Linked DNA regions of Caenorhabditis elegans. The main gene of each other region encodes a partner of the protein of the gene in region 3 in a complex. Each region holds a gene or a part of one and is shown on either strand. Other genes may lie near its edges. The genes, in order: bicd-1, nud-2 and egal-1.

Evidence for each region.
Region 1: egal-1 (region 3) and bicd-1 share a complex: the UniProt entries of both Caenorhabditis elegans proteins name them as parts of the dynein-regulating complex.
Region 2: egal-1 (region 3) and nud-2 share a complex: the UniProt entries of both Caenorhabditis elegans proteins name them as parts of the dynein-regulating complex.

Annotation. Positions count from the first base shown.
Region 1 is NC_003282.8:6,565,804-6,574,189, reverse strand, and holds the start of bicd-1 (Protein bicaudal D homolog), read left to right. Parts: upstream 1-1,853; 5' UTR 1,854-1,861; coding exon 1,862-2,062; intron 2,063-2,472; coding exon 2,473-2,949; intron 2,950-3,333; coding exon 3,334-3,471; intron 3,472-3,731; exon of another isoform or gene 3,732-3,752; intron 3,753-3,845; exon of another isoform or gene 3,846-3,866; intron 3,867-3,923; coding exon 3,924-4,116; intron 4,117-4,433; coding exon 4,434-4,621; exon of another isoform or gene 4,622-4,639; intron 4,640-4,705; coding exon 4,706-4,798; intron 4,799-4,851; coding exon 4,852-5,095; intron 5,096-5,264; exon of another isoform or gene 5,265-5,286; intron 5,287-5,786; coding exon 5,787-6,169; intron 6,170-6,272; exon of another isoform or gene 6,273-6,293; intron 6,294-6,676; exon of another isoform or gene 6,677-6,702; intron 6,703-6,951; coding exon 6,952-7,128; intron 7,129-7,368; exon of another isoform or gene 7,369-7,389; intron 7,390-7,841; coding exon 7,842-7,961; 3' UTR 7,962-8,386. UniProt on the Caenorhabditis elegans protein: Part of a complex with dlc-1 and egal-1, which is recruited to the nuclear envelope by unc-83, where in turn, it recruits dynein to the nuclear surface and regulates nuclear migration in hypodermal precursor cells.
Region 2 is NC_003279.8:7,856,946-7,861,614, reverse strand, and holds nud-2 (Protein nud-2), read left to right. Parts: upstream 1-2,197; 5' UTR 2,198-2,211; coding exon 2,212-2,421; intron 2,422-2,506; coding exon 2,507-2,897; intron 2,898-2,946; coding exon 2,947-3,062; intron 3,063-3,328; coding exon 3,329-3,493; 3' UTR 3,494-3,859; downstream 3,860-4,669. Other genes in the region: apb-3 (AP-3 complex subunit beta), read right to left, coding at 3,869-4,165, 4,341-4,669. UniProt on the Caenorhabditis elegans protein: Part of a complex with lis-1, which is recruited to the nuclear envelope by unc-83, where, in turn, it recruits dynein to the nuclear surface and regulates nuclear migration in hypodermal precursor cells.
Region 3 is NC_003282.8:5,822,704-5,830,953, reverse strand, and holds egal-1 (Egalitarian protein homolog), read right to left. Parts: upstream 6,162-8,250; 5' UTR 6,065-6,161; coding exon 5,894-6,064; intron 5,822-5,893; exon of another isoform or gene 5,797-5,821; intron 5,485-5,796; exon of another isoform or gene 5,464-5,484; intron 4,943-5,463; coding exon 4,102-4,942; intron 4,081-4,101; exon of another isoform or gene 4,060-4,080; intron 3,534-4,059; exon of another isoform or gene 3,513-3,533; intron 3,010-3,512; exon of another isoform or gene 2,989-3,009; intron 2,984-2,988; coding exon 2,793-2,983; intron 2,667-2,792; exon of another isoform or gene 2,646-2,666; intron 2,558-2,645; coding exon 2,409-2,557; intron 2,365-2,408; exon of another isoform or gene 2,344-2,364; intron 2,242-2,343; coding exon 2,085-2,241; intron 1,948-2,084; exon of another isoform or gene 1,924-1,947; intron 1,861-1,923; exon of another isoform or gene 1,840-1,860; intron 1,530-1,839; exon of another isoform or gene 1,509-1,529; intron 1,424-1,508; exon of another isoform or gene 1,403-1,423; intron 1,242-1,402; coding exon 1,026-1,241; 3' UTR 755-1,025; downstream 1-754. UniProt on the Caenorhabditis elegans protein: Part of a complex with bicd-1 and dlc-1, which is recruited to the nuclear envelope by unc-83, where in turn, it recruits dynein to the nuclear surface and regulates nuclear migration in hypodermal precursor cells.

The DNA.
Region 1 (8,386 bases), 740 kb from region 3:
ATAGAGATACTTTATGTATGTTTTTGAGATTTATTTTGTTACTAGATCTCAATTTTTCAATGGCATTTTAGTACTGTAGAGTGCAAGAGAAATCTAGCCTTATTCGAGAAATAAGTTTTTTACTGTTTATATTTTTTGATAAGTTTTTCAAAAATTTTGTTCGTTTAATGTACATCTTTTTTTTTAGTTCCAAGCGAAACACAATATTATTTTTCATACTGTAATACATATATTCGATTATTAATCAAAAATATTTTTTGTGTTGTTTAAAAAATTGTTTTTAAATTACAAGAAAAATTGCATGTCTGCAAAACTTTGATCGACTTCTGCAAATTTTTTAATAAGCTTCTACGAGTTTTACCCAACTGTTCTCTTGCATACGTAATTTAAATTTTTTCTCGTTTGATTTTTTTTTGTTATAATGACTAAAATGTTGTAACAAACCAATAAAAAAGAACACATAATAAAAATACCCAAAACAGAATTGGTTGGAAAAATATGCAATAGTTTGAAACATTACCCGAATTCTGAAAGGTTTTTAAAGTGAAGTAGCAAAATTTTTCAATTGATTGAAACATTAGAAAAGAGCCAAAACTTTCAAAAAATCTATACTTAGCGCTAAGACTGTCATTTTTTGTCGCAGCGTCTGGAAATGAATTGTTATAAAAGCATGATCAGTTATCACACTATTTTGTAGTATATTTTAAATTTATTGGAATACAAATGTTTCAAAATTTGAATGCCAGTAGAGTGCTTTAAACAATTCCGGAATAAAGACTCAAACTAGAAAATTAAGATGATAAATTGAAAAGTTGAAAAAAAGCCCGTTTCTAGATTTAGACTTTAGGAGAATGCGATTTTTAAAAATAATTTTCATCCGGCATAACTAAAAAATTTTCAAAATTTTCAAGAAATCACATTATGAAATTCGGCCATTTATGCTCATTTATAAACAATTGTAGTTAATTTTTGTACAATTTCTGTCGCTGAGTGCAAAAATAAGTAACCAAAGTCTTCAGAGCATTAAGGTAGTTTCGCCCAAAAATTTAAATTCTAGGTTTAAGCTTAAAACGAGAGCTATTCTTTGACAGTTATTACTCGCATGGTTAATATCAGTTCCTTGAAAATCAATCAATAACCCCAAAACCATATCATTTTATGTGACTAAACTTTCCTTCCAAAAAAAAAAGAAAAAAATGATCTGACTCATCAATTTCCGGTGATTTCCCCCGTCTTCCGTGCTCCACCCAGAACGGTTTGCGGAGGCATTAGAACAGTAGTCTCGCCCCGCATTTGTGTCGATTTTGGCTGCCGAGTGAACAAAAAAAACGAAACAGCACTCAATATTTGTGTCAGGTCAGCCACTCTTTCTTCCATTCTCTTCTATTTGTTTTTTGTTCATTTCTATTCCCTATTTCTCTCTATTCTCTTTAGTCCATTCTTCATTTCATAATTCTACTGAAACTAGTGTTACCTCTATCTCTAAACTCTCCTCTCAACCTGTACTATTTCTCTCGCGGGAGCCGAAAACGAAAACCTTATGAATATACAATTAGTTTTTCGACACCCTCTCCTAGTCGACAAAACGCAAATTTCCAAAATTGAACCTGTCGCACTAATATCTTGGAAATTTTGAAATTTACTTATTCCTGGTTTTGTTTAATTTTTGTTTTTAAAAGAAAATGTGGTCATTTGAGAACATTTTATTTAAATTTAAATTTTTAAATTTTTTCCTGTTTCAAATTGTAATTATTTCAACAATTTTTTAAAGGAATACTCAGTGAAGTATTTTTCCCCCTTTTTAAGTTATTTTCATGTTTGATATTTCCAACTCTCTAACATTTAAATTTCAGCAGCCACAATGGCTGAATCAGAATTGGAGAAGCTTCGTCAGGATATTGCAATCCTTACAGAAAAATATGAACAAGCCAAAGAAGATATTCATAAGGCAGCAAATGCGGGTTTAGAATTGCTCCGTCAAAAGGAAGATCTAGAGAAACGATTAGCAGAGATGCAGGCAGAATTGGATTTGGCAAGAACTGAAATTGATAAAACTAATCAGGTAAGTATTCGATTTCGAAAATAAAAATCGGAAAAAATATTGAAAAAAAATTAATGTTTCAAGTAAATGGTAAATATTCGAAATTTTTCGTACTATTTCATTTATTTTTAAAATATAAGCATGCAACTATCAAAAAAATTTTATTCAGACTTACGCAGGTAGGTAACAAAAATATAGGAAAATTTTTCACTTTTTTCGTTTTGTTGCAGTCATTCTTACCATTTTTTTTAAATATTTCATAAAATTTTGAACTGTAAAAATATAGAAAAATGAACAATCAACATTTTTGTCAGCTTACAATTTTTGATGAAGATGTATGAGCTGCCAAAATTGAGCTTAACAAAAGACTAGTAAAGTGTTAACAAAATTATTATTGAAGCTCAAGTTGTTCAAGTTGCTCTTATTTTCAGACTCTTGCTGAATACCGTTCCCAACATCAACGGTCCACTCGAAGTGAACTCGAAAATGAAGAATCTCTACTCGAGGAAAGTTCAGCAAAAGAAGAGGAATATCTACAGAGAATTGCAAAATTAGAAGCAGATCTTAAGAAAAAAGAACAAGAATTGGCAGAAAAGAAAGAAGAATTGGAAAGTATTGAAAAGAAACATTCGAAAGAAATCGATTCTGGAGCTGCATTAGAAGATGAAAGAAGAAAACTTAGAGCTGAATTAAAAGAAACAAAAGAAAGAGAACAAAGATTAATTTCTGAATATTCAGAGTTAGAAGAAGAAAATATTGGATTACAGAAGACTGTTGCAAATTTAAGAGGAAGTCAAGTGGAATATGAATCATTAAGAATTGATAATAATCGATTGGAAGAGACTATTGAAATTATGAAAATGGCTGCAGAGGAAGATGAAATATTAAGAGTTATTGCTGACAAACAGGTGAGACACTTTGAAAAATTACAACTCTCTCAGAAACTTTAACAAGTTTTCCTAAAAATATGTGAATAATTTCAAACATTTCCCTATTTGTTTGGAATTGCAACTGCAAAAACATTATGAAATTTTCATGTCTATTCACTATTTATTTTTGATCACGATTTGAATCGTAATAAATACAATACAATACAATACAAAATTTATTAGGTGATTGAAACAGTAAAAAAAACGAAAACTAGACAACTTTTATTTTAATTTTATAACCTGTTATTATTATTTTATAGCTCCCGTTTTTCATTGAAATTTTTGAACGGGTCGCCTCAATGTATATTTTCAAAACCTCAATTTTTGTATGAAAAACTTTCCAACTTATCATAAATATTTCAGCTCGAAGAAGCTCTGCTCACAGCTCAACAAGAACGGGATCAGCGATTGGCAATGAAAAGAGAATTAGAACAGACAAGAAATGCAGAGCATATCAGTAGTTTAAATGATATGCTTTTTGGATTGGAAAGGCTTGGGGAGGTTTGTTTTTTTTGTTAAAAAATTAAAACAATTAACTTTTAATAAAAGTTTGTTTTCCTATTTTAAAAGTTCCTGTGAAATTTTGTTAAAACACTTATATACAAAATGTCTTTTGTATACGTGAATTTTAAAAATACATTTGATAACTGATAATTTGAAACTAAACTTAACAAGTTGGGAAGAAAAAATTGCTCTTAAAGAAAAATGAGCTTCACATGTTTCGTATTCAATTTATATTGGCCAAGAGGAGTGTTGTAGGCTTGTTCTTTCGGTATCGATTTTTCTATTATTTAGTCAAATGTTATTTTAATATTTCTGTGTTCAAAAGGCGCATGAAATGGCAGAAACACTTGAATTAATTGTTGAATGAAAGTGTGGCACATGCTTTTAACGGACCACACGCTCAACACCAAACATTTTTGTATAAATCTTATGAAACAGTAATTTTTTAGGACGGCGAACTGCCACCTCCACAACCTGGAGCAAGTGACCTCTTCAGTGAATTACAAGGATCAAGTGATGTAAAAGTTCGTGAACTGGAAGCTGCAAAGGAAGGACTTCAAGAAGAATTAAAGAGCAGAGAGAAGATTTTCATCGAATTTGTAACCGGATTAGCAGACACCCTCAATATTCATAGACCAACAAGTGAGTTTAAATAGAACATTTCAGTTTGATTTGGAGTGTGATAAACCATTGAAGACATGGTGAAAAGTTATAACATTCAATTTTCACCAAATTTTTCAATGTTTCACATTCATTTCATATTGGTCAACGGTAGTATTGGAGTCTAGCGTAGATGTATGTAGTTTTTCAGAGTTTTCAGGGTTTTGGGTGAATAAAAGCTTCGCAAATTTCCTTTAAAATGAATATTTTATCATATTTACAATTAGTTATATTCAAAATTATTCAATTTTTAAAAAATTAGTTCCCCCGTGCATTCCCTAACAAAGTTTTCTTTACAGATGAGCTCGACTACATGCATGCTCGTCAACAAAAAGACGTTGTACTAGAGAAAATCCAGAACATTGCTCGTGACACTGACCGTCATGATAAAGAAGGAGAAGAAAAACGATCGGGAATTTTGAAGGCTGATTTGAGGACACTTGTATTGGTTGCTGGAGAGAAAAGTGCTCAGTTGGCAGCTGCTCAAGTTAGTTTTTGAATTAAATCATAAAAGTTTCATATTGCGAACCAAATTAAGAACATTATGAAAATGTAAATGTTGAAAATTCAGGACGCAATGATTCAAGTCTCCGATCAACTTTATCAATTCTACCATCAAATGACACAGAACCAAGGAGTTCAAACAGAAAAGAGTGTACAAGAGGTAAATTTTATTTTAATATTTATAGAAAATGAACAGAACTTTGTATATTTCAGATTGTGAAAAAGTTGCGTCTATTGGCTCGTGCCAATGCAGAAGACGTTCCACGTGTCTCGTTGGCAGATGAAGGAGTTGAAAGTGGAACAGAGACAGATGTTAATGCATCAAGATCAATTCCATTGAATTCCGATCGTCTTGTTATTGCGCCAAGTTTTGCGAAGGAAATTGAGAAAAAGTTGGCAAGTGTCAAGATTGGCGATGTGTTGTCAGAGACTGATTTGAGGCAAAGAATACTTACTGGTTTGTTTAGTTTTTGAATCGCAAAAAAGAGCTGGATACAAAACTTTTCCAAAAATGTACAAGTTTTAGAGAAGATGCTACAATTAAAAAAAACAACGAGATTTTACGAAAGACAAATAAAATTACTGTTTCAACCAACTTTTATCATAAATTGGGTTTATATTAGCTATTTGAGTCGAGGTTTCAACACTACATTGAATTTACTGTACTTACTGTATACTTAGTATACTTAGAATACTTACTGGTTTGTTTTTGAATCGAAAAATTCAAAAAAAGAGCTTTGCCAAAAGACAATTCTTCTTCAAATACTTCATTTGGTTGAAAATATTTGGAATGTCTAGCAATATTTAAATCGATTAATAGAAGCAGGAAAAATTTATTTTTTATTCGAATTAAATTTTTCAAGAATAATTATTAGTTTTAGAGAAGTTGCTGAAATAAAAAAAATTTTGGAAGATAAATAAAATTACTGTTTCAACCAACTTTTTTTTTCCATAAATTGGAATTCTATGAGCAGTATGTTTTTCAATATTGCATTGAATTTACTACTTTGTATCAAACATTCATTTAAGGTTTGATGGCGTTAAATTTAAAGAGTGATTAAGACTCTTGATATTAAACGTTACAACTTTCAATTTGCCAATATACATCTCATTCTCACATTCGAATATATTAAATACATTATTTTCAGAAGGAAATGCCATTTCCGAAACCACAGAATCGTTGAAAAAGATGATTCAAGTGGTGAAAAGAACCTCTGAACAAGCATTCAATCAAGCAGTTATGGCAAGTGGAGCTGAAAATGAAATTGAAATGCAGAATATGAAATTGCGAAGTCTTTTATCAACAAAACGAGATCAGATTTCAACGCTTCGAACTGTTTTGAAATCGAATAAGCTGACTGCTGAAAGTGCATTGACTTCAATGAGAGAAAAATATGAATCAGAAAAGAAAATGATGATGGAAATTAATGATAAAATGAGAAGAGAATTGAAACAATTGAAGGAAGATGCTGCCACGTTTGCATCTCATAGGGCAATGTTCACTGCAAGAGGAGAGGAACTCAAGTCAAAGGTATTTAGTTTTGTTTTGAAACAGTTAGGAATTTCTAATTTCGGGAAAAGTATAGCTTTTATAATATGACATACGGTAGCTCTGTTTAATTACTAATTCAAACATTTCCATTCCAGATTCCCTATTACAAAATAGATATACTTAAATTGTATCTGTAGTAGTTGAAACAGAAACTATTTTTAATATTTAAACTTTTTAGGGTTATTAACTTTTACTTTGAATTATTTTTCTCGTTGGAAAAAAAATCGTTTTCTCAAAATTTACAAATTTTTATTTGGAGTCAAGTTTCTGACCTGGCAGCTTAATGAAAATTTCTCAAGTTAGTTGCTTTCTCAACAGCTAAACGTTAACAGATATTGACTATAGTTTGACAGAAGTTGTCAAGTTTTTAAAGAAAGTTTCCCCCAAATGCCGAGTTGATAGATGCGATCATCTTCTAATTAAAACTTTCCGTAAATGAAATTACTGTTTCACAAAGGATTTATTTTGAATTGAACTTCATTTTAAGTTGATAGTCATAGGGGTATATCTAACCATTTTCTCACTTCTATTGTATCTGTAGCAGTTGAAACATACTTTTTTTTTAATTTTCATCTTCGTACAGTTTGTTTACTTTGAATTATTTTTAACATTTAAAACTCGATTTGTTTTTTACTTGAATTTAGTGTCTGAACTCTGAATTTGAAAAAAACATATGGTCAAAACGCAATATTTTATCACTTTAATCGTATCTGGAGTAGTATCTTCTGTAAATTTTAAAATCAAATTTAACAATTTTCCAGGTGGAAGAACTATCAAACGAGTTGCGTGCAAATGAAGAGGAAAAGAAGACATTAAATCAACTTCTTCGTTTAGCAATTCAACAGAAGCTCACATTGACTCAACGTTTAGAAGAGGTTGAAGTTGATCGGGATAGGCAGGTATTTAAGAGGAGTAGTACAAGAGCTCCAACTAGAGAGGTGAGATATTAAAGGTGTAGTATCGTCCAATGTGACGTCTTTAATGGAATCACTGATTAAAAACCATAAAAATTAAAACAGTCTTTTTTTTAAAAATTTTTTTAAAAATAACTTTTTTAAAGTTCTTTATGACCCATTTTCTCTAATTTGAAGAAAAATCTCAACAGACGATACTCCGCCTTTAATTATGTTCACTGTTTCAAAACATTCACAAAAAAATGTTGAAATTTCAAAAAGCAATGATTTTTTGATATACAGAACACATTGGAAGGCGGATTGTTTCTTTTGGGGAATTTTTTCGAAATTTATTTGATATGCCAAGAATAACAAAGAAAAAACGAAAAAAATTGGAAAATTTAGTTTAAAACGATAAAAAAAACCTTTTAACAAAGACACAAATCTTTCGCCAAACGTACAAAACTGCCTTTTTAATATGACAATCCAATCTTTTTAAATCTTCAATTGATTGGTATGGAAATGCAGAAAAAACTTTAATTTTGGTGAAAAGCTTGAAAAAATCTTGAAATAGTGCTCGAAAGTTGAAGTTTTGCCAAAAAACTTTACGCACTTTTAGCTACAAACGGCAATTTTCAAGCACTATGTTATGATTTTCTGGAAAAGTTTTCGACAAAATTAAACTTTTTCTTACTTTGAAAAATCCAAAAAAATTGTTTTTTTCTTCTAGAAGTTAATTTAATCTTCTCCGTTTTCAGACCTACCAGCCACCGAGAGCAGTTCGTTATCCGGGTTCAACAACAACAGCTCAACAGCCAGCACCTTCATCTTCGGGGGGCTCGAGGGGAGGGCCACGCAGGGGAGACAATCAGCAATAAGCTGGTGGTCAGGTGATGACGTGACAACGATGAGAAGACGACGAACACCTACACCAGAGGATCCAAATGATCAAGAATCAATTAATACACAAAACCACGTCATCACCACGTGGCCCTACGACCTGAAAAATGAAGAAGATCCCCAATTATTGATTGATTTAATGATGGAAGAGATGAGAGTTGAATCTGAAATTGAAAGAATGCGATTAGCACTTAAAGAACAAGAATCGATATTCGCTGATTGTCAATTTGTTATTGCTCTTTTCTCACTTCCACCAATTTTGATTTATCTGGCTGTTTCTGTTTTACTCTTCCCGCCAATGCTATAGAAATCAGCAACATTTTGAATTTCCATATTTTCTACTTTTTTTCAAATGTTTGTTAAGTCAGATTTGGCAGCCGACATTTCACGGGTTACCTCATAG
Region 2 (4,669 bases), on a different chromosome or scaffold from region 3:
TATTTTCTTTCACGCGAAGCTATACACGAGACTGCATCAACATTTTCCTTCACTCTCCGCCTCTGACTTCCTCAGTACTGTCTTAGTCTTTCTCCCACACCATACTGACTCATTTTTGATGGTATTTGGCGTCATTGCCTGAATTCAAAATTGTTGTACTGTTTCAAATAGGAGTCTTGCCTGTTTGCTTATTAATTTTAAATTTTTAAATTGAAATTCCCTGTTAACCTGGTTGGGTGGACGATTTCGAGATTTATCGTCATGAAAAGATGGCTTTGAAATTATTATTTTCCACTAGGCCAAATTCAAAATTCTTCGTTGAACGTTTTCAATTAATTTTCCGGGCGAGCATTGAAAATATATGTATTACTGTAGTTCTCTTAGTACGCAAGTTTTTTAATGCAGCATATTTGACGACATATTGTGTAACAGATTTTTGAAACCATCTTTTAAACTAAATGTTTTTTCTTCTTTTAATTTTCAACAATTGCTTTGAAATTTTGCACCATTTACTCTTTTACGAAATTTCTGTCTTCTATTCTTGGCAGTTTTGAGTGTTTCTAAACTCGGCATTTTCATTGCTAAACACGTATTTACTCAGCTTTTGCTTGCCCCCGAACAAAAAAGTTTTATGATCAGTTCAGTTTGTCAGAGCACCAAAATGTCAACACAGAGCTCTCGCTCTTCGATTGGCACTTTACGAGTGAAGTCAAATACTGATTTGATAGGCTTCTCAATGTGGAGGAATCTTTTGCGACGATCGCTTTCTTTTTTTGTTCACCTGTTCGTACTATTCAATTCTTCAGCAGAGTGATGTTAACCTTGATCGTGTCATGTCGACCTGAATAGGAAATAGATGAATCGTATAGTTTGTGTGTATGTGAAGCACTTTTCTCGTTCATTTACATTTTCGAATATCAAATTTAGGTGTGGTACTGCGGCGCGGGAAAAAACGCGAAAAACAGATTATACCACCCCCAACTCTCCTCGTGACGTGGCCCAGTGATTCGTGAATCCTATATTAACCGCTGAAATTGGTCATTTATTATCTCAACCGGTTTCGTGTTTCTGTTCACTAATTCGTACGATTTTCTGTGTTCACCACACCTAATCCAATTAGAACTCAACAACTCGATGAGTCATGCGTAGGCGTTTTGGAATTTCATTTTTTAAATGTTTGTTAATACATTTCATTCTCTCCAAATTCTCACTTACATCATTAGTCTCAATCGTTACAACTAAATTGACCCGCTTAACTTGAAAATCTTTCAAATAATATGCTCAATATATTCTGCATTCCTTATTCTATTTGTTATCAGTTATTATACGCGACCATTGCCGCTCCCCATTCCTCCGACTGCTGCCTATCGTGAGTTTGACCTGAATTTCGTGTGGGAAATTGGACTGTTATATGAATTTAATTTCTATTTCCGAAGTTTAATTATCGATTACTAAAATTGATTGCCATTTCTGGAATACTCTTTGAAGAAATTTACCAATTTTTCTTTTAACACAGATTTTCTTGAATGACTATTCTATTCTATTTACAAAAAGTGTTAATTTTTTCGGAATTAGTTTCTTATAGCAGATTTCTTTGAACTTCATCAGTGTATTAAACCCAAAAAACAGTAAAATTTTCCTTCAAAGTATTTTGAAATCTTCAAAGGTTATCTGATCTTAAAATTATTGCCTATTGGTGTTACTCGCACAGCTGTTCGACTTTTTGTAGCGGAAGTGCGGACGAGCTATGGGAGCAAGGACAAACACAGAGCACACGGCGGCCGGAGCAGCCGGAGCACCCCCACTTTTTTGTTTGCTCGAATGCCTTGTGTCAAAAACTTTGGAGGATTTTCCATCTTTCCTCAGAGAGATGACTTTAGCTGTCTATCAGATGATGGCGACCTTAGATATCCCGATTTATAAGAATACTGAGACTTTTCTTCAACATCGTTAAACCTCAAAAAACATCCATTTGCGGTAGCAACTAATACGTAGTTGCTTCTGTTTTCCTCCGTTCGACCAGTTCTCTTTTTCTCTCTTTCCCAAATGTCCATTCTATTCTCTCACTTTTTGTCCACACGTGGCCGAACGTTGTAAGGGTTTAGTGTGTTCACAGGCGGCATTATACGTTTTTTCCTACGATTCATAATTTTTGTTGAATATCCTGAACAATTTTCTAAACCTTTAATATTTTCAGATCATCAGAAATCAATGGATTTGTCTGAGGATCAAATTCGCGGACTACCGCACCATGAGCTTCTTGGTCATTTCTTGCAAATGCGCGAAGAGTTTAACGAGTTCCAGACAAGTTCCGCGGAAATTGAGAAAATGATGGATTCAGAATTGGATGATTTGAAAACACAACTGAAAAAAGCAGAAACCAGAGTACAGCAGATGACCACAGAGCAAATTAGGAACAAGGTTGGTACTATTTTTTACATTAAAATTGAAAAAAAAAACTTTATAAAATTTTTCAACTATAATTTGAATTTTGTGAATTTTAAAGGATCGACAGGACGATTCCCGTGTACAATTTGCACAAGTCGAAGAGCAATTAAGACGAGAAAACTCACATCTTCATGAACAATGTGAAAGTCAGAGAGAAAGAATTCGAAAACTGGAACAGAGAAACGATGTGCTCGAAACATCAGAAAGAAATAAGGAATATCTAGCATCTGATCTCGGATCGAAACTGGATCATGCTATTGAAAAGATAGCAATGTTGGAAAGTGAGCTTTATGAACGGCAAGTTGCTGCTGAAGAAATGCATAGATTACGAGAAGAACAACTTCGAACAACAGAACGGCCACGTTTGATTGTAGAACCATTGAGGAATGATCCAGAAATTCTGCCGGACGAGCCATCCCCAGGTCCAAGTAAAGAAGAGTTTAAAATGAGTAAGTATTTGTCGCATTTTGAGAATGAAAATAACTAGTACTATTTAAGGCTCGGAAGATGTTTTCATGGAAGACGTGCAGCACCACGAAGATGTTCGAATGGAGGAAACTATTGCAAAAATTGACGAAGTGCGCATCGATGACAATAAAAATATTCAAGAAAAAGTACGTAAATTTTCTTTTTTTGGTGGATTTTTGAAAGTAAATATCCAAATATTAATTCAAAGAAGACCTGCAAATTTCGATCAATTAATAGCTTCACACCTTATTTCGGAATGAAAAACATTTAGTCGAAAAACTCTTGCAGCGAGTTCTAATTCTTTTTTCCCTCACAACTATAAACGATAGCATCTCTAGATGCAGAATAGACCGAAAAAACAATATTTGCTAACCCATTTATAGTTCTCAGCCAACATTTACATAGCTTTCAGAGCCAACGAGTATCTACCGGTACGGGCGCCGGTGCTTGCATCAATCGAATCGTCAAAGACCTGATGACAAAAGTCGAGCGGCTCGATTCAATTTTATCGACGATTCGCGTGAGCAACAACTCGTCTAACAACAATTCCAGTCATCTTACAACGACACGGGCTTAACATTTCATTTTTTGGTTTTTCTCACCTTTCTCGCATACTGTGACTTTTCATTCACTCAGGGATCCTCCATTTCATCATTTCCTTCGTTTCTTTCCGTTATTATTCTTTTCCATGACATCCTGTATCATGCTTATGTTTTATTCCCACCCAATTGGTATTAGACCCCGATTTTATTTGCCCCGCCTTACTGTTGCTCAATATAAGTTCCACGTTCGCCATTCACCCACATTATTTTCCAAATTTCTAAAGTGCCTACATATTTCTAATTTTTCTGTTAAAAATTTATATATCCGTCACCATGAATAGTTAGTAAAGGAATGATTTCAAGAAAAAGTGAGCAAAATAAATAAATAAATACAATTTGAATTAATCTTTCTAGCAATTTTTGGAGACAGAGAACGCCAGCATTCGTCCTATCACCGAGTTGTCACAACAGCACTCAATCGATTTTTCTGAAACTGTCAGAATACAAACATCCTTTCGTGAACGTGTCTGGCAAGTGAAAATGGTCAAATCCGAAGAAAATGCGTTAACAAATAGAGCAATTGACGAAGGATTAATGGGATTTTCGAGTTGTATCACATGCCGATTGAGACCTCCAAGACGACTTCTTTCTTTTGAAATATCTTCTGGAGACAGACGAATTGGTTGAACTTGCTCACCATATGGGACCTAGAATTTAGGAAAAAATTTAGTTTATCTTTAAAAGATGCGGATTGTGGAATCTAGTCAGGAATTATACAAGTTTTGATATAAAATATTAACCATCAAGGGAGTATTTACGTTTTTCAATTTTTTTTGTGGAAAAAATAATTTTAAAAGCCTCTGAAACTATTTAAAAGATTACCTCAAATCTGAAATGCTTCTCATGACCATCATCTCTTGTAAGTATCCATTCTCTACTTGTCGCACTATCTCCAAAATCTACGAGCAAATCAACAGAAACTCGTGCTCCAGACGGAATATCTCCAATAATCGAGTTTCCCTTCACATCGAGACCTTCTTCAGTTTTTAATTCAACTCCTAACAAATCTCCATCGGTTTTGTTTGTGATTCCAAATCGAATAGCCGTGTATTGTCCATCATTAATACGCGGATAACTAATTGATAATATTAGCCCGTTTCCTTCAATTACATTCAAAAGTTCAATTTCTTTTTCTTCGATATGAGTTGCAT
Region 3 (8,250 bases):
ATACTACCAAATAAATTACTGTTTTTCGATTTTTATAAACTTTGAGTGACTGACTGATAATTGCTTATTTTTTTGGTAACAACTATTTCTAGTTCTTTTCTTGTTGTAAGATATAATTTTAGTACAAATTCAAATAAAAGCAGTAGGTAACAAAAAAACAATGTTGTTCAAGGCGACAAATTGAAATTAATTTTAAATTTTTTAAATTTTCAAAAAATTTACCGTTTCTAGACTTTTGTAAAATTTGGGTGAAATTAATAGTTTTGATTGCAAATCTTGATGAGTGAATAATTATTAGAAGATTGTCGGAATATGCATACACGAATCGAAAATGGGCGCAGTGATTGAAATTTTGCAAGTGTATTGAAACTGTATTCAATATTTTATAAGACTTTCATTTGAAACATAAAAAACCAAATAAAAGTATAACTGTGCATTCACAAGCTAAACAAATGGCCAGAAATCGTCAAAAGGATCTTGTTGAGTGCCCCGCGTAGATAAATACGTTTGTCAAGGTATTCAGAGAAGTGCTACGTGTGGTGATGAATGATCCAATTGGTGAAAATGCTTTGAATCGGTTCAAACTATAAATTTCACACAAATTTTACAAAAGACTAGAAACGGTAAATTTTTTGGAAATTTAAAAAATTGAAAATTGATTCTGATTGTGAAACAGTAATTTGTGTAGTGTTGATTTCCACATAAAACCTAAGAGAGTTGCTTAACATTTTGTAATTTTTTTGAAACTGCATATAAAATGTAATAAATTTTCATTAAAAACAATAAAAAAAATCCAAATAAAATTTAACTGTATACACCGATGAAAACTGAAAGCTGTGAATTTTGGAGAAAAGAAGTTTTTTTTTTTGAATTTCAAAAAGAAGAGCGTGCAAAGTGTTTCTATTGCACATTAAATAATTTTTAACAAATGAAAACGAGGAAAAAGTGATGATGATGTATTGTCAGAGAAGGCATTTCTTGGTGAAAAGAGAGAAAATAATGAATGATTATCAAATGAGAATTAACTACTCGTAGAATACGTTGAGCACTTCGATATCGCCCGTTGAGAACGTTTGGGTGCATGCATCCGACATTTGTGGACGCGGAGCAGCTGCATATGGAGCTGGTGAGAATGATTGCATTATTGATCCACCATTTCGAACATCACGACGAGTTGAAGCACGATATGGGGAAGAAATGAATGGTTGAGGTGGTGGACGATTGGGTGATGCTAGGAGAACCTGGAATTTTGGAATTTTTCGATGGGAAAAAGTAGGAAAATTGTATAAATTAACTTAAGAACAAAAAATTCAATTGAAATTCGAGATATTTTTAAGAAGTGCTGAAATTTTCCACCGTTTCAGATGGGGAGTTTAACTTGCTCAAAATATAATAATACTGTTTAGTTCAACAGTTCAATCGTTTACAAAACTTCTATTTCAAATCTAAATTATTTTTCCCACTGTTTTAAATAAGGTATTTAATTAAAGTCCGAATGAAAATTATGATAGATAGAATGGAACTTTACCAGCGTCGAATTGCCTAATTGTTGCCCGAAAAAAATTTCAAAATTTGATTTAAAAATTGAAAAAAAAAATAATTCTTCGTCAATTTCTTAGCAAAATCGGTGCCAGAACTTTATCATTTGGAATAATATGGAAAGTTAATTTTGAAAGTAGAAAGTACAAGTAGACATTAACGTTAAAAAGTATTTGATGAAAAATTTTAAATTTTTAGTTACATTTTGGGCGCTGTTTCGGTTTCGGGAAAAACAAAAAAAATTGTAATTGGAGTCTTTTTCAGAAAATTTTCTAATTTAAATTTAAATTAAATTAAAGTTTTGGGTTAAACATTGCAATTTTGTGGTAAAAAAATGTATACAATTTCAAGATGTTTTCAAGAAAGGGGATCAAATAATCGTGATAATGGGTAACAATTCTAAAGTGATAATGGTGATACTGATAAGGCTCATGAGGTTTTTCAAAGCTTAAACTAAACTAAACCAAAACTAAACAAAACTGAATAATATGCATGATGCAAAACTAAATGGTGCATTTTTGAACAAAAAATCAACAAAACCGAACCTCTGGATGGTTTACCTCGATGCATTTATCTTCAAATACACCACGTAAATGCACCGGAATCAGATTTGAGAGAGATTGATAGAGAGCTGAAAGAAGGCAATGAGCTTCTTCCACAATTGTCAACTGGAATTCTTCTGTGATTGGTCGGACACCCCAGCTGAAAATATAGAAGGTTTATAGCAGAATGTGTTAATGTTGAATGAAAAAAAATTACGGTTTCAAAAAGTTTACAAGTAAATTTAAGATTTTATGGAGTTACTGACAGTGTTTTTCCTATTGTTTTTTTTTAAATTTTATTTTTTTAACAAAGAAGATGAGACTCACTTCGGGCACATGCTCATTTTCCGTGGAGTCACGTCGCTGAGCATAATTGACTGTGGATAATAGACACGTTGAAGGTTGATGAATGATATTGGACGCATTTCATTCAGAGATTTGTTGAATTTCTCGTGTTGAAGAAGTGAGTGAGCAACCTGAAATATAGTTGTTAGAATGAAAACGTTGAAAATTCATACATTTTCTAGGTGTACATTTTAGAGGGATATTTGAACTGAATATTAGTGAACTTATATAAAATATAAAAGATAGTTTGAAAAAGTTTCAAAATTCAAAATTTGAATACCGAGCTCTCGGCCATTTTTAGAAATACAAATTTGAGATTTCCCTAGCGAAATTTTGCAAAATTAATATTAAAATCGATTTTCTTACCTGAGTATCGAAAACATTTCTCATGTGAACTGCATACTTATGAGCCAATAGAGATGCAACTCTTCTTGCGTCGTGAATAACTTTCACCACTTTCTCACTCTCCAAAATCCCTTTGAATCCAGATTCCAAAATGATGACGTCACTGGAGGCGAGATCGAAAATTCCGATTTGAGATGTTGTGGCGATCACTCCTGGAATTATTCATTGTAATGTCTCAATGTTTCTAACGGTTTTGAAATTTTTTTACAATAATGAAGAAACAGGATTTTTTTGAGATATTGGGTACAGAATACCTCGAAATATCGTTAATGAAAAATATTTGAAATTAAGAAAACTTGAAGGTAACTCATCATTTCGCGGATTGTTTTTGCATGATATATGGCGAGTAGTTTTTTTGAAAATAACAGAACTGAACAGGAATTCAAAAAAAAAGTAATAAAATTTGGAAGATATTACCCTAAAAAGAGGCAAAGGCTTGGGGCAACATACTTTCGAAATTTCTAAAAAAAAACTAATTTTTAAAAATTTCATGTGACCGTTCTAATACATGTTCCATGTAAAGCTAATTGAGAAGTTTCCTACCCCCGGCAGCTAAAATCAGTCAAAAAAGAGTCCCCCTTTCACAAGGATCACAATGGATACTTGTTCCGTTTGGAAAATTTCAACAATTTTTACTGTTACAAATCGTCGGTTTAGGTGTCTCAAAACAATTCAGAGTAGTAATCAGACTTTATTGAGACAAAATAATATTTTTTGCCAGGGTTTCAAAGTCTTTGGCTGAAATTTATGCCATAGAAAGGTATCAATCAAAGCTTCATTTTAAGATTTAACAGTTTTTCTTTCTTTTTTGAAAACAAAAAGAAAACCAAAAAAAGTTCATGAACTGAAATTTTTCCGCAAAAAACCGTAAAACGTTGACCTGAATCTGTTTTCTTGTTTCGTGAGATTTACGTTTCTGGTCATTTTTGTAACTTTTCGTCGTAATTATTTTGTTTTTCGCTTTCAAATTCTCAAAATAGTCTCAGAAAATCAACAGAAAAAGGAACAAAATCGAGTAAATTCAAACAGGGACTGTAGCAAAAATTTAAAAATCCTGATTTTTAATGCTGAATGTTTTATTTTTTCTTAGTGTTTTCCTTTGTTTTTCGTGAATTTTTGAATTTAGGATTATTTTGGGTGTTTTAGAACACAATCTCCATTAACGCAGCCCCACTGTTAAATACTGTTTCATTCCTTGGTCATAGAGCATCATAACATTTCAGAGTATTATTAGAATTTTTCGAACAACTTTGTTTGAAAAATAACTCACCCAAAGACAAAAAGATTTCTCCATCAACTCCGACCGTAACAGTTTTCAAATCCAATCCAACAACCTTCTTTTCCATGTTATTAATATCCTGCCACAGTCTTGAAATTAAATCTTGTGCCGGTTTAAGTGCTTTCACAAAATGAATTCTTGTCAATGCACTTTGATCAAGTGGAAACATTCCATTATTATTTGTCTCTTCACCTTCATCTGATCCATTTTCAGATCCATCTTCATTTAGACGATTCTTCACGAGAGATACTTTATTGGATCTAATGAAGAAAAGTCCTCGATTCAATTTTAAAAACTGAAGAAGTTCTTTTGGATTTGTAGCAACATCCTGGCGAATAGTGTGAGAGAATCGTTGACAAAAGTTTTGATAGAATTGATCCAATGGAATAGGTTGATCTTCATTTTGTTCCAAAACTGATTTCAAATATTCTACAGCTGCTTGTTTAGCTTTAACTCCAGCCAAAGGTCTTCCTTCATCATCCATTTCAATTGCATTTTCATCTGGTTCAGGCATATTCTTCAATCGAACTCTATCACCTTCAACAACAAAATAGTCAACTTGAGATTGCAAAAACTCGCAAAACTCCTTTAAATGACGTCCTGATACAAGACGAACTTCTGGAGCAGCTTGAGAACGATGTCCCAATAGAGATTTTATTTGCAATTCTGGACCGAATTTCGTAAGTTTTGTGACGAAAAAGTCGACGGCTTCTTTTTCGTAATTTCGACTACGAATACCCGATTGGAGAAGTGGATTATTTTTTGCATTTAGATCATTATGCCCATTTAGAATTACTTGATCTCCTTCGACAGTGAACAGAGATGGATGACCCTGGAAATGAATTAAATTATCGATATTTTATTAACAATATTAAATTTTTGTGGAAATATTTTAATTGAAAATTAAAAAAATCTAAATTTTCTAGATATGACATTTCGTATAATTTTTCAATTTTTTTTTTCAAAGGATACTGTGTAAGAATTTGTAGAAAATAGTAGCCTTTTGAGTTTTGTTAGTTTTTTTCTTTGGGAGGAACTATTTTTTTGATATTTTTCCATTTTTTCTCCGGACAAAAACAGTTTCTCAAAAAATGTGAAAAATGGTAAAAATGAAAAATGGCGTAAAAAAAGTGAAAAATGTCAAAATGTCAAAAATGTCAATGTCAATGTGTAAAATGTCAAAAAAAATGTGTAAAAAATGTGAAAACAATAAGATTTTTTTAGAAACTCGTTTCTTCTGGAGGTTTTTTTTTAAATTTTTGTGAAATTGACTATAAATATTTCAAAATTATAGATTTTTCAAGGTTTTGAAATTTTCTATAGAATATACTTACTTACTTACTTAGGCGATCCGTTCTCTAGGAATTCGTGGTATTCCTGCGAATCACAGCTACTCATAGATATGAGTTATTTGAAACAGTAAAAACACAATAAAAACTTTTTCAGAAAATTTATCAAATTTAATTCCTCTTTGAAAAGCCAGGATATTAAATTTTTGTGGAAATATTTTAATTGAAAACTCAATGAAAAAAATTAAAATTTTCTGAATAAATTGGAGCTGGAAATCTAAATGTTCTAGGTTCTGGATGTTACGGTGAATTTTAAATTAATTTTTCACAAACTTTGTAAGAATGAATACGATATTGCATGGGAATTTGATTTTTACTTTTGTATAACTTTACAAAATTTAGAAATTCTAGAACGCGATTAATAAATTTTTTCAAAATTACAAATTCTTGAAAATTTGTCGAAACAGTAAAAAAATATTTTGTTCACTCCTCACCTGCAAAAACTCGGTTAATCCCTCTTGAGTTGTTCCAACAGCATTTCTCATTTCTTCACTAAACCCGCGTGCTCCAAATTGACAACTCAAATCATGAATTGTTCTTCTCCCATTTTTCTGCATCAGATGGTCCATAAAAAAGAGCAAAGCCATATTCTTTGCCTCCTCCATTTTCTTTTTTTGGTTTTAATTGATACGTGTAATGATAAGTGTTTCCGTGAAATGAAAGATGAACGCAAGATTGGCTGCGAACGCTTTTTTGGCTTACCTGCAAAAAATTAAATTAATTTTAAGTGCGTAGGGAAAGAAAATTAACTAAGAGTTTGGAAATGAACACTTGAAAATGTATTGAAACATTGAAAAAATTAAAGGAAACAATTTATTTTTAAAAACCGGATAATACAAAGTAAAGACATTTGAATTTTATATCATTTTTATATACAAAAAACGGTTCTTTTTTCAAATCGTAAAATTGTACTGTTTTTTCCGGTCAGAGACAAAAGCTTATCTATTTAACACTTCTGACTCATCAGCAATTCACAAAAAATATTATTTTGAGAATTATTCATCCTATAGAAAAATTCTCGTTGCTTCCATAAAAATATTTCATGTTTCAATAAAGTGTTTTGATGATCTAAAAAATATATTTGTGTTGCTTGGACAATTTAGCTGTTTTAAAAATGTTTTAAAACTGTTTAAAAAATGTGACGAAAATTGAAATTTGGCTCATAAAAATATTTGAAAAATTTTACTGTTTCAGATTGGTTTCATGAAAGTTTAAAAAAATGCAAGGAATATTTTAAGGCACGTAAAGAAATGTGAAAAATGTTTTGTTTCAAATTCTGAAATTAAGGATTCTGTCAAACAGTTCGTAAAATCACAAGAAAACAACAACGTATTTATTGCCCCACTTTCATAACTTGAATTATGTATTTTAACTGTTCTAAATATTTGTTCTAAAAAAGAAAGCCCAATGTAGGAACTTTTGGAAATTTGCCCTATAGGAAAGAACTACTGTTTCAGCTCTTCCATGTAAATTTTATCAAAATTTAGGAAACATTCCAAGGAGTTTTCGTATTTCTAAATTAAACAAAAATTGCACAATTACCAACTAGCGGCAAACACAAGTTTCCACCAAAAAAAAAGAAGTTTTCATAAAAAGTTCTAATCTCCAATTTCCAAAGAAATTGTGAATAAAAATGACTGTTTTAATTGTTCATTTCTAGAACACATTAATAATTAGTCTGTTTTACAAATAATGAAGAACTCAAATTATAAGTGCCAAAATATAAGTGTCACTGTTTCGGTATGCTGATACAAAAATTTAAATTTAACAACAATAATGGGTTGTTATAACAATTTTAAAACTGATAAGCTTCAAAACTACAAATACCAGGAAAATTAAAAGAATGAAAAAATTGTTTCGAGATTTTTTTTATTTTACAAGGCAACTGAAATAATGAAATTGAAAGATCACATCATTACAGTAAAATATTAAACAGTTTTATGTAGACTAAATAGCTCTAATCATTCCAAGTGAGCACGGAAATGACTGCATCGTATCTACCCAAGGACTACAGTAAAACACTGTTTCAGCTTGTTTTTATAAAAATTGAAAAAAATGAAAGCAGTATTGGTAAGAATGTATAAGAATGTTAAAACATGAACTTTTCTTTTTAAAAATTGAAAAAATTTCAATAATAATTTGTCAATTGCCAAGTTATGGAAAACATAAATTGTTTAGCAGAAAAAATGCACCGTTTCATTGTGCTGATATAAAAATGTGAGAATTACAGCTATATTAAATGAAAAGCTGGCTATGGTCCCAATATGTCTTTATTTTTTCCATTGAACTTTCAATAAGTTGATTGAAATTCTGTTTTCTATGTATTAAAAATAGAAAAAAAAAATGACAGCATTATTGGTAGTACAGTATACAGATTTCATAAAGAATACAGTATACATAAAACTTGAACGTTTCTATTGAATTTCTGCATTTCAATAATAATTTGCCAATTGGCTTTTTTTAAGTAAAACAATTCACTGTTTCAGTATGCAAATACAAAAATGCAAATGTGAAATTATGAATGTTTTGGTATTTGAAGATAATATGATATGATTAGTAGGGTCATTCATAAATAGTGGTCAGTTAAAATTATAGAAAGAATCACTGTTTCAGTATGTTTATATCAAAGTGTTAATATTACAGTTATGATGAATCTTCAATCTTCAAAAGAAAAAAAATGATAATGACTATTTGACTTTTGAGATTTTACAATCCAAAAATAATTCTGCAATTGACAAGTTATGGGAACCACTTACTTTTGGTTTAAAAGTTTACTGTTTCAGTGCTCTTT